Linked DNA regions of Struthio camelus. The protein of the gene in region 1 purifies or fractionates together with the protein of each later gene. This does not show direct contact. Links are inferred from orthologs where the notes say so. Each region holds a gene or a part of one and is shown in the gene's direction. Other genes may lie near its edges. The genes, in order: RAB5A and RABGGTA.

Region 1 (3,909 bases):
GGATGCAATCATTCAACTAACGCACAAGGAAAAGGAGAGTGGAAAATGAAAATAAAAGTTTATTTTTGCACTTGAGTAACTTCAAAAATATTGATATGCCCATACCAGGGAAGGGACAAAAAGACAAAAGGAGGAAACAAACACAGCAAAATGAGATTTGTTTATTTCCTTCTCAGACTACAGTCCCATCAGCCACAGTATTTTACAAGCAGTTAGGTGTTTTTAAGGCAGCACTAAAGAGCAGAGATAATAAAAGGCTGCGACATGATTAATTTAAGCTTTCTGTTTTCAGCATACTTCTAAAGTAGCAGCAACAACAGCAGAAGAATCCTGCACGGACAGAAAGACTAACTGGACAACTAACATTAAAGTTCTATATTTTAAGGTGATAATGAACCACTACCATAATGGGCCTTTAGCTCCAATATAACCCGGGCCATAGGCTTTTCCTAATTTAATTTTTGCTCCAACTTAATATGTGGTTGAACAAAAGCATATTTTGAGAGGACAGCAACATACAATCCTGATTTAACATTTTCTGTGATTGAGAGTCTAAACAATCTTTATTAAATTGTACCAATGATTAAATACCATAACTGATAAAGTTACTAAACTTCTTTCCAGTTCTGCTTTGGCTTGCTCTAAATGCCAACCGTTACACCTTATTAAACCTGCAAGATTAGGGAAACACTTATTATACCTGTTTCATTTCCTATGGAACCTGTTTATAATCTGTGACCAAGTGTCCCTTACTCTTCTCTTTCATGGGATCAGTAGATTGGGCTCTTTTTATCTTTCACAGTGAGGGAAGTTTTCCATTCTTCTTATCATTCATATAAGCCTTTTCTGAATTCTCTCTCACTTTTCAACATCCTTCCTCAGTTACAGAGATCAAAAAGGCAGGCAGGATTACAGCACGCTTCTCACAATACACCAGCAATACAGAACAAAAGTCATACATGTACTGCCATCTCCAGCATGAGATGTATGATCCAATATTTGCATGTATTGAGACGTACTATTTGCATCTACCTATCCAGCAATAAAGACACTTCTCCATTGGTAACCTATTCTCTTCAGTTTTAGCACTCTCCCAGTATTGATCGTATCCCAAAACTTCATCCCATAAACTTCATTTATTAAAGAAAAATGTTAAGCAGCTGTCCAATTGTATTCGGGATTTTTTCTATGTACTTCCTTCCCTCAACTCATTTGGCTTAGGGCTTTGGTCCTTTTAAAGCACCCAACTGGGAGTTTGCAGGGAATCCAGTTCACAGCCCTGGCACCTCAGTGGCCACATCATGCTGCACTGTGCTTGCTGTTTCTCGCAGAGAGGCATTCAGGAAGCCTAGCTGTTCTCAAGAGACTCTTTCCCTCAGACTTACAAGAGCAGGACGTAAGCCATTCCCTGCAAATCGAGGGCCCAACTTCCGCCACGCCTGACAAGCCCTCTTCGTTCAGCCACTAACGGCTCCCTCACGCCTTGCCCGACCACTAAACACAAACGTATTTACTTGGGGAAAACGACGCCTTATTTGAGCGCAGCAAGGGGGGAGGAGGGGGCGATCACCTCCCTGGGCTCCACCTCCGGGAGGACGAGGACGACACGGCGCCTGGGTGTCGCTGCTCGCGGCGGCCGCCACCACGGCCCCGCTCGGGCAGGCGCCGGGGCCGCCCTCAGCGAGGCCGGTGGGGTGGAGAAAGCGCCACAACCGCCGCGTCGCTGCCGAGGCACCGGCCGTTGGCGGGGCAGAGGGGAGCCCTCCTCGCGCCTCTCCCGTGGGCCCCCGCGCGGGCTGGCACGCGGCGGCCGTGGCGGGGGGCCCCGCGCGGGCGGTCGCAGCCCCGCGGCGTTGCCCCGGTAACGGCCCAGACGCGGGGCGGGGGGAGAACGGGACGGAAAACGAAAGGGGCGGCGGGAGGAAACGAAACGCAGGGGAGGGCGGGAGCGGCCACGTGACGCGCGGGCGAACCGGAAGCGCATGCCGCGTGCGGGCCGTGACGTGGCCGCGGCGGCGGCCGCGGCGGAAGTGCGTGTGTGTTTTGGTCCGGGCCGAGGAGGCGGCGGAAGCTGGCGGCGGCGCGGGCGAGGCACGGCAGCGCCCCCGCCCCGAGCCCCCGAGCCTCCCCTTCCCTCCCCGGGCCTGGCTCGTCCTCCCGCCCTGCCGGAGAGACAGAGAGAGACGCCGCCGCCGCCCGGCTCCCCTCCCTTCCCCCTCCCGCGCGCGGCCGCCGCGGCCCGGCCAGGTGAGGAGGCGGCGGCGGGGCTCGCGGGGCGGGGGGCCCGCTGGCGGGGCGGCGGGGCCGGCGCGGCCCCCGGGGTACGGGCCGTCGCTCCTAGCCCTCTGCTTCCTCCGCCGCAGCTGCCGGCGGCCGCCTGCGTGCGCGCCGCCTCCGGGCGGTGCGGGAGCGTTGGGCCGCGGCGTGGGCTGCCGCGGTGGGCAGCCCGGCGGGCGGAGGGGGGAGGCCGGTCTGGCTTTTCCCGTCTCAAAATGGCGCTCCCGGTTCTCCCACTTCCCCTTATTCCCCTGCCTGCGGCTGGAAGGAAGCGGCGGGGGAGGGAAGGCGGCGGCGGGCATTGGAGGAGCTGGGCTGGGGATCCCGTTGAGAAGGGGGGGAGTGGGGATCCTCCCTGCCTGCGGCCTCTGCTGCGGTGAGTTACCGCTGCCTGGCCCTCCTGCAGGGGAAGGGGTGTATCTTTCGAGTTACCTGAGCGAAAGGAAAGGGGTGGATGGGTGACGGGTTCCTTTCTTTTGCCTGTGACCTGGAAAGGGACGCTGAAGAAGGTGGGAAGGAAAATACACTGGCCACACATCGCCATTCAGGGAATCTTGGATCAGGGATGGCAGGACCCCTGCTCCTTACCCCCCTCCCCCAATACAGGCCTAGTTTATATATGGTTCTACATAAGACTTGGTTGGGACGAGGAATAAAGCTATAGTATGGTGAAGAGACAAATCAATGCTCTCTTATCCTTTAGAGGAGAGTAGGGTAACCAAAAATTATCAAAATGGTGTTCAAAACAATAGGTCTATGACAGACAAAATTAGTCCCTCAGCATTTTCCTTTTTTTTTCCTTCTCTCTTTTTTTTAAACCTTTTACCTTTGTACCTTTTTTAGCTTTACCTTTTCTCAGCCTGGGAATGGAAAAGAGAGACTGAACAGTAACACTGAAATTAATCAGCTCGGTCCAAGTAACACTCGGAGCAAGTAAAAAGCATAACATACTTGATTCCCCACCCCCCATTTGGCAGTGAGTTCCTAGAGTTGCAGTAAGGGTAATTTACTCGTGCATATTTTTACCTTATGGAACGAAATGTCAAGACAACATGAATGTTAACTGAAATGAGGTGGTTAGAGACAGTAATTATACAGTCATCATTACCTGTCTTTCTGATATGATAAACTAGTTTATCTCAAAGCAGTGCATAATATACATCATTCATATGAACTTACGAGATAGCTATTATCTTTAATTGGAAGGCTGTGAATTTCCTGTACTGTTGATTCATGTGCTTAACATACTGTCTCATTATGTTTCAATATAAACTGACTTGCATATGACAAATGTTCTGATAGTTGTACCTGTCACTATCTTGAATACTACAGGACAATGCCACACTAATTTGGTCAACCTGAGAAGGGAATAACAAAAAATTGGCCAGTTAGGAGTGCCTACCACGTAAGTTTATTTAGATATTCCTATTTAAATTGTTCAGGATCATTCAGTATAAATAAACTTGAAGTAGGTAGTGGCTATAACTTCAGTGTTGTATGACTGTTTTCGACACTATCAACACTGAATTTCAAATACGGTCAGCCAGAGGCAGTCATTTATGAGTTACAATTTTCCAGTAATCTGAAACTTGAAAGCGTATTTGTGTCTAAAATGCTTCATCCCTGAATTGA
Region 2 (3,909 bases), on another chromosome or scaffold:
ACCCCCAAATCCCCTCAAAAAATTACAAATCCTGTCAGAAAACCCGCCAAATCCCCCCCAGGGGTCTTCACAACCCCCAAGTCCTCTCAGAAAACACACAAATCCTGTCAGAAAACCCCACCAAACCCACCATGGGTCTTCACAACCCCCAAATCCTCTCAGAAAACCCATAAACTCCCTCAAAAAAATCACAAATCCTGTCAGAAAACCCGCCAAATCCCCCCCCAGGGGTCTTCACAACCCCCAAATCCCCTCAAAAAATCACAAATCCTGTCAGAAAACCCACCAAATCCCTCCCCCAGGGGTCTTCACAACCCCCAAATCCCCTCAAAAAATCACAAATCCTGTCAGAAAACCTGCCAAATCCCCCCAGGGGTCTTCGCAACCCCCAAATCCCCTCAAAAAATTACAAATCCTGTCAGAAAACCCACCAAATCCCCCCCAGGGGTCTTCGCAACCCCCAAATCCTCTCAGAAAAACCCCAATTTCCCTCAAAAAGCCCACAAATCCTGTCAGAAACCCCCCCCAAAACCCCTCACCTCCCCCCCCGCCCTCCCCACCGCCCCTCACCCAGCTCCTCCGGGCTCAGCCCCTCCTGCAGCGTCTCCAGGGCCCGGCGGAAATAAGCGGCGGTGCCGGGGTCCAGCCTCGGTGCCGGTACCGGTGTCGGTGCCGGTTCAGCCCCGGGAACCGGTCCCGGTGCCGGCGCGGAGCCTCCGCGGCGCCGCACACCCATGGCGGCGTGTGGAGGCGCCACGCTGTATCCCGACACGCCCCGCGCGCCGCGGCCCGGGAGGGGGTTATATCCCGGCGTGCCCCGCGCGGAGGAGGCGGGAACAGGGCTTGGCGGCCGCTGGCGGCTTCCGTAGAGCCGCCTCGGTGTATCCCGGCGTGCCCCGCGCGCCGCAGCGCAGGGAACTGTAGGGGGGTATGTATCCCGGCGTGCCCCGCGCGGAGGAGGCGGAAATAGGGCTTGGCGGCCGCTGGCGGCTTCCGTAGAGCCGCCTCGGTGTATCCCGGCGTGCCGCGCGCCGTCCCCGCCCCCCTCCGCTAGGCCCCGCCTCTATCCCATCATCCCCCGCGCCGCCCCGCCCCGCCAGGGACCCAGGTGTCCGGCTCCGGTAAAGCGCCGTTATTTCCCTTCGTTCATTATTTATCCCCGTTTCTCCTTTAAGGCGGAAGTGGGAAGGGGGGGGAGGCCTTAAGCAGGGCCGCTCTGTGCCGGCGGGAGGACCCCCGTCTCTATGGTCTCGGCTTGGCTCTCCCCCCCCCCCCCCAAAACCCGGACGCCTGGGCCCCTCCTGCCCGAGCCGGACGCCTGGGCCCCGCTCACTCTCTGTCCCCCGCAGGTGCTGGACCCCCCCGGCGAGCCGCCATGGTGAGACCTCCCCGATCCCACCGTCCCCCGCGGCGGGCGCTAGTTCCCCCCTCCCCCCCCCCCGCCGTGACCCCCCCCACACTGTCCCGTGATGCTCTGGGGCTCCGCTGCAGACCCCCGGCATCCCACAATGCCCTGGGGCCCTTCGGCCCCCCCCAGAATCCCATGATGCCCTAGTGCCCCCCAGTATCCCCCACTATCCCCCAGTATCCCCCAGTGCCCCCCAGTATCGCCCAGTGCCCCCCAGTATCCCATGATGCCCCAGTGCCCCCCAGTATCTCCCAGTGCCCCCCAGTATCCCCCAGTTCCCCCCAGTGCCCCCCAGTATCCCCCAGTTCCCCCCAGTATCCCATGATGCCCCAGTGCCCCCCAGTATCGCCCAGTGCCCCCCAGTTCCCCCCAGTGCCCCCCAGTATCCCCCAGTTCCCCCCAGTATCCCATGATGCCCCAGTGCCCCCCAGTATCGCCCAGTGCCCCCCAGTATCCCATGATGCCCCAGTGCCCCCCAGTATCGCCCAGTGCCCCCCAGTTCCCCCCAGTGCCCCCCAGTATCCCCCAGTTCCCCCCAGTATCCCATGATGCCCCAGTGCCCCCCAGTATCGCCCAGTGCCCCCCAGTATCCCATGATGCCCTAGTGCCCCCCAGTATCCCCCACTATCCCCCAGTTCCCCCCAGTGCCCCCCAGTATCGCCCAGTTCCCCCCAGTATCCCATGATGCCCCAGTGCCCCCCAGTATCCCCCAGTTCCCCCCAGTATCCCATGATGCCCCAGCGCCCCCCAGCGCCCCCAGTATCCCACGCTGCCTTGCAGCACGGCCGCCTCAAGCTCCGCCCCTCGGAGGCGCAGGCCGCCGCCCGCCGCCGCGAGCGCGAGGAGAAGCTCCGCCTCTACCGCACCGCCATGGCCGCCATCTTGGAGAAGGTGACCCCGCGACCCCGCGACCCTTCGCGACCCCTTGACCCTTCGCCCTCCCCGTGACCCTTGACCTTTCGTGACCCTCCCCATGACCCTTGACCCTCCCCACGACCCCTTGACCCTTCATGACCCTCCCTGTGACCCTTGACCCTCCCTGTGACCCTTGACCCTTCGTGACCCTCCCCGTGACCCCTTGACCCTCCCCACGACCCCTTGACCCTGCATGACCCTCCCCGCGACCCTTGACCCTCCCTGCGACCCCTTGACCCTTCATGACCCTCCCTGTGACCCTTGACCCTCCCTGTGACCCCTTGACCCTTCATGACCCTCCCCGCGACCCCTTGACCCTCCCCGTGACCCCTTGACCCTTCATGACCCTCCCCGTGACCCTTGACCCTCCCCGCGACCCCTTGACCCTTCATGACCCTCCCCGTGACCCTTGACCCTCCCCGTGACCCTTGACCTTTCGTGACCCTCCCCGCGACCCCTTGACCCTCCCCACGACCCCTTGACCCTTCACGACCCTCCCTGTGACCCTTGACCCTCCCCACGACCCCTTGACCCTTCATGACCCTCCCTGTGACCCTTGACCCTCCCCGTGACCCCTTGACCCTTCATGACCCTCCCCGTGACCCCTTGACCCTCCCCGTGACCCCTTGACCCTCCCCACGACCCCTTGACCCTTCATGACCCTCCCCGTGACCCCTTGACCCTCCCCATGACCCCTTGACCCTCCCCGCGACCCCTTGACCCTTCATGACCCTCCCCGTGACCCCTTGACCCTCCCCGCGACCCCTTGACCCTTCGCGACCCTCCCTGTGACCCTTGACCCTCCCCATGACCCCTTGACCCTTCATGACCCTCGACCCTTCATGACCCTTCCTGTGACCCCTTGACCCTTCGCGACCCTCCCCGCGACCCCTTGACCCTCCCCGTGACCCCTGACCCTCCCCGCGACCCCTTGACCCTTCGTGACCCTCCCCATGACCCCTTGACCCTTCATGACCCTCGACCCTTCATGACCCTCCCCGCGACCCTTGACCCTCCCCGCGACCCCTTGCCCCTCCCCGCGACCCCTGTGCCTTGGCCCTCCCCCCGCGCCCCCCCGACCCCTCGCTCCCCCCGGGCGCCCCCTGACCCCGGTGCCCCCCGGTGCCCCCGCAGCGGCGGCGGGGGCGGCTGGACGGCGAGGCGCTGGCGCTGACGGCGGCCGTGCTGGCCGCCAACCCGGACGTGGGCACCCTCTGGAACGTGCGGCGCGAGGCCCTGGCCCGGCCCCCCCCCGGCTGGTGCGTACCCCCCCACACCCACACACCATAGACACCCCCCGTACCCTATAGACACCCCCCTGTACCCCATACACCCCCCTGTCCCCCGTACACACCCCCCTGTCCCCTATAGACACCCCCCTGTACCCTATAGACACCCCCCTGTACCCCGTACACCCCCCTGTCCCCCGTACACACCCCCCTGTCCCCTATAGACACCCCCCTGTACGCCATAGACACCCCCCTGTACCCTATAGACACCCCCCTGTACCCCGTACACCCCCCTGTACCCCGTACACACCCCCCTGTCCCCTATAGACACCCCCCTGTACGCCATAGACACCCCCC

Evidence for each region.
Region 2: the proteins of RAB5A (region 1) and RABGGTA purify together in Homo sapiens (affinity purification with mass spectrometry; 3 studies listed by BioGRID and IntAct, counting the BioPlex papers as one, with this or other methods). This does not show direct contact. The link is inferred for Struthio camelus from reciprocal best matches to the Homo sapiens genes RAB5A and RABGGTA.

What each region holds. Positions count from the first base shown.
Region 1 is NC_090943.1:42,637,976-42,641,884, forward strand, and holds the start of RAB5A (ras-related protein Rab-5A), read left to right. Parts: upstream 1-1,604; 5' UTR 1,605-1,861; intron 1,862-1,963; exon of another isoform or gene 1,964-2,247; intron 2,248-3,120; exon of another isoform or gene 3,121-3,278; intron 3,279-3,609; 5' UTR 3,610-3,682; intron 3,683-3,909. UniProt on the Homo sapiens protein: The small GTPases Rab are key regulators of intracellular membrane trafficking, from the formation of transport vesicles to their fusion with membranes.
Region 2 is NC_090970.1:679,084-682,992, reverse strand, and holds the start of RABGGTA (geranylgeranyl transferase type-2 subunit alpha), read left to right. Parts: upstream 1-1,043; 5' UTR 1,044-1,121; intron 1,122-1,149; exon of another isoform or gene 1,150-1,247; intron 1,248-1,349; 5' UTR 1,350-1,375; coding exon 1,376-1,378; intron 1,379-2,188; coding exon 2,189-2,299; intron 2,300-3,457; coding exon 3,458-3,582; intron 3,583-3,909. Other genes in the region: NOP9 (nucleolar protein 9), read right to left, coding at 571-736. UniProt on the Homo sapiens protein: Catalyzes the transfer of a geranylgeranyl moiety from geranylgeranyl diphosphate to both cysteines of Rab proteins with the C-terminal sequence -XXCC, -XCXC and -CCXX, such as RAB1A, RAB3A, RAB5A and RAB7A.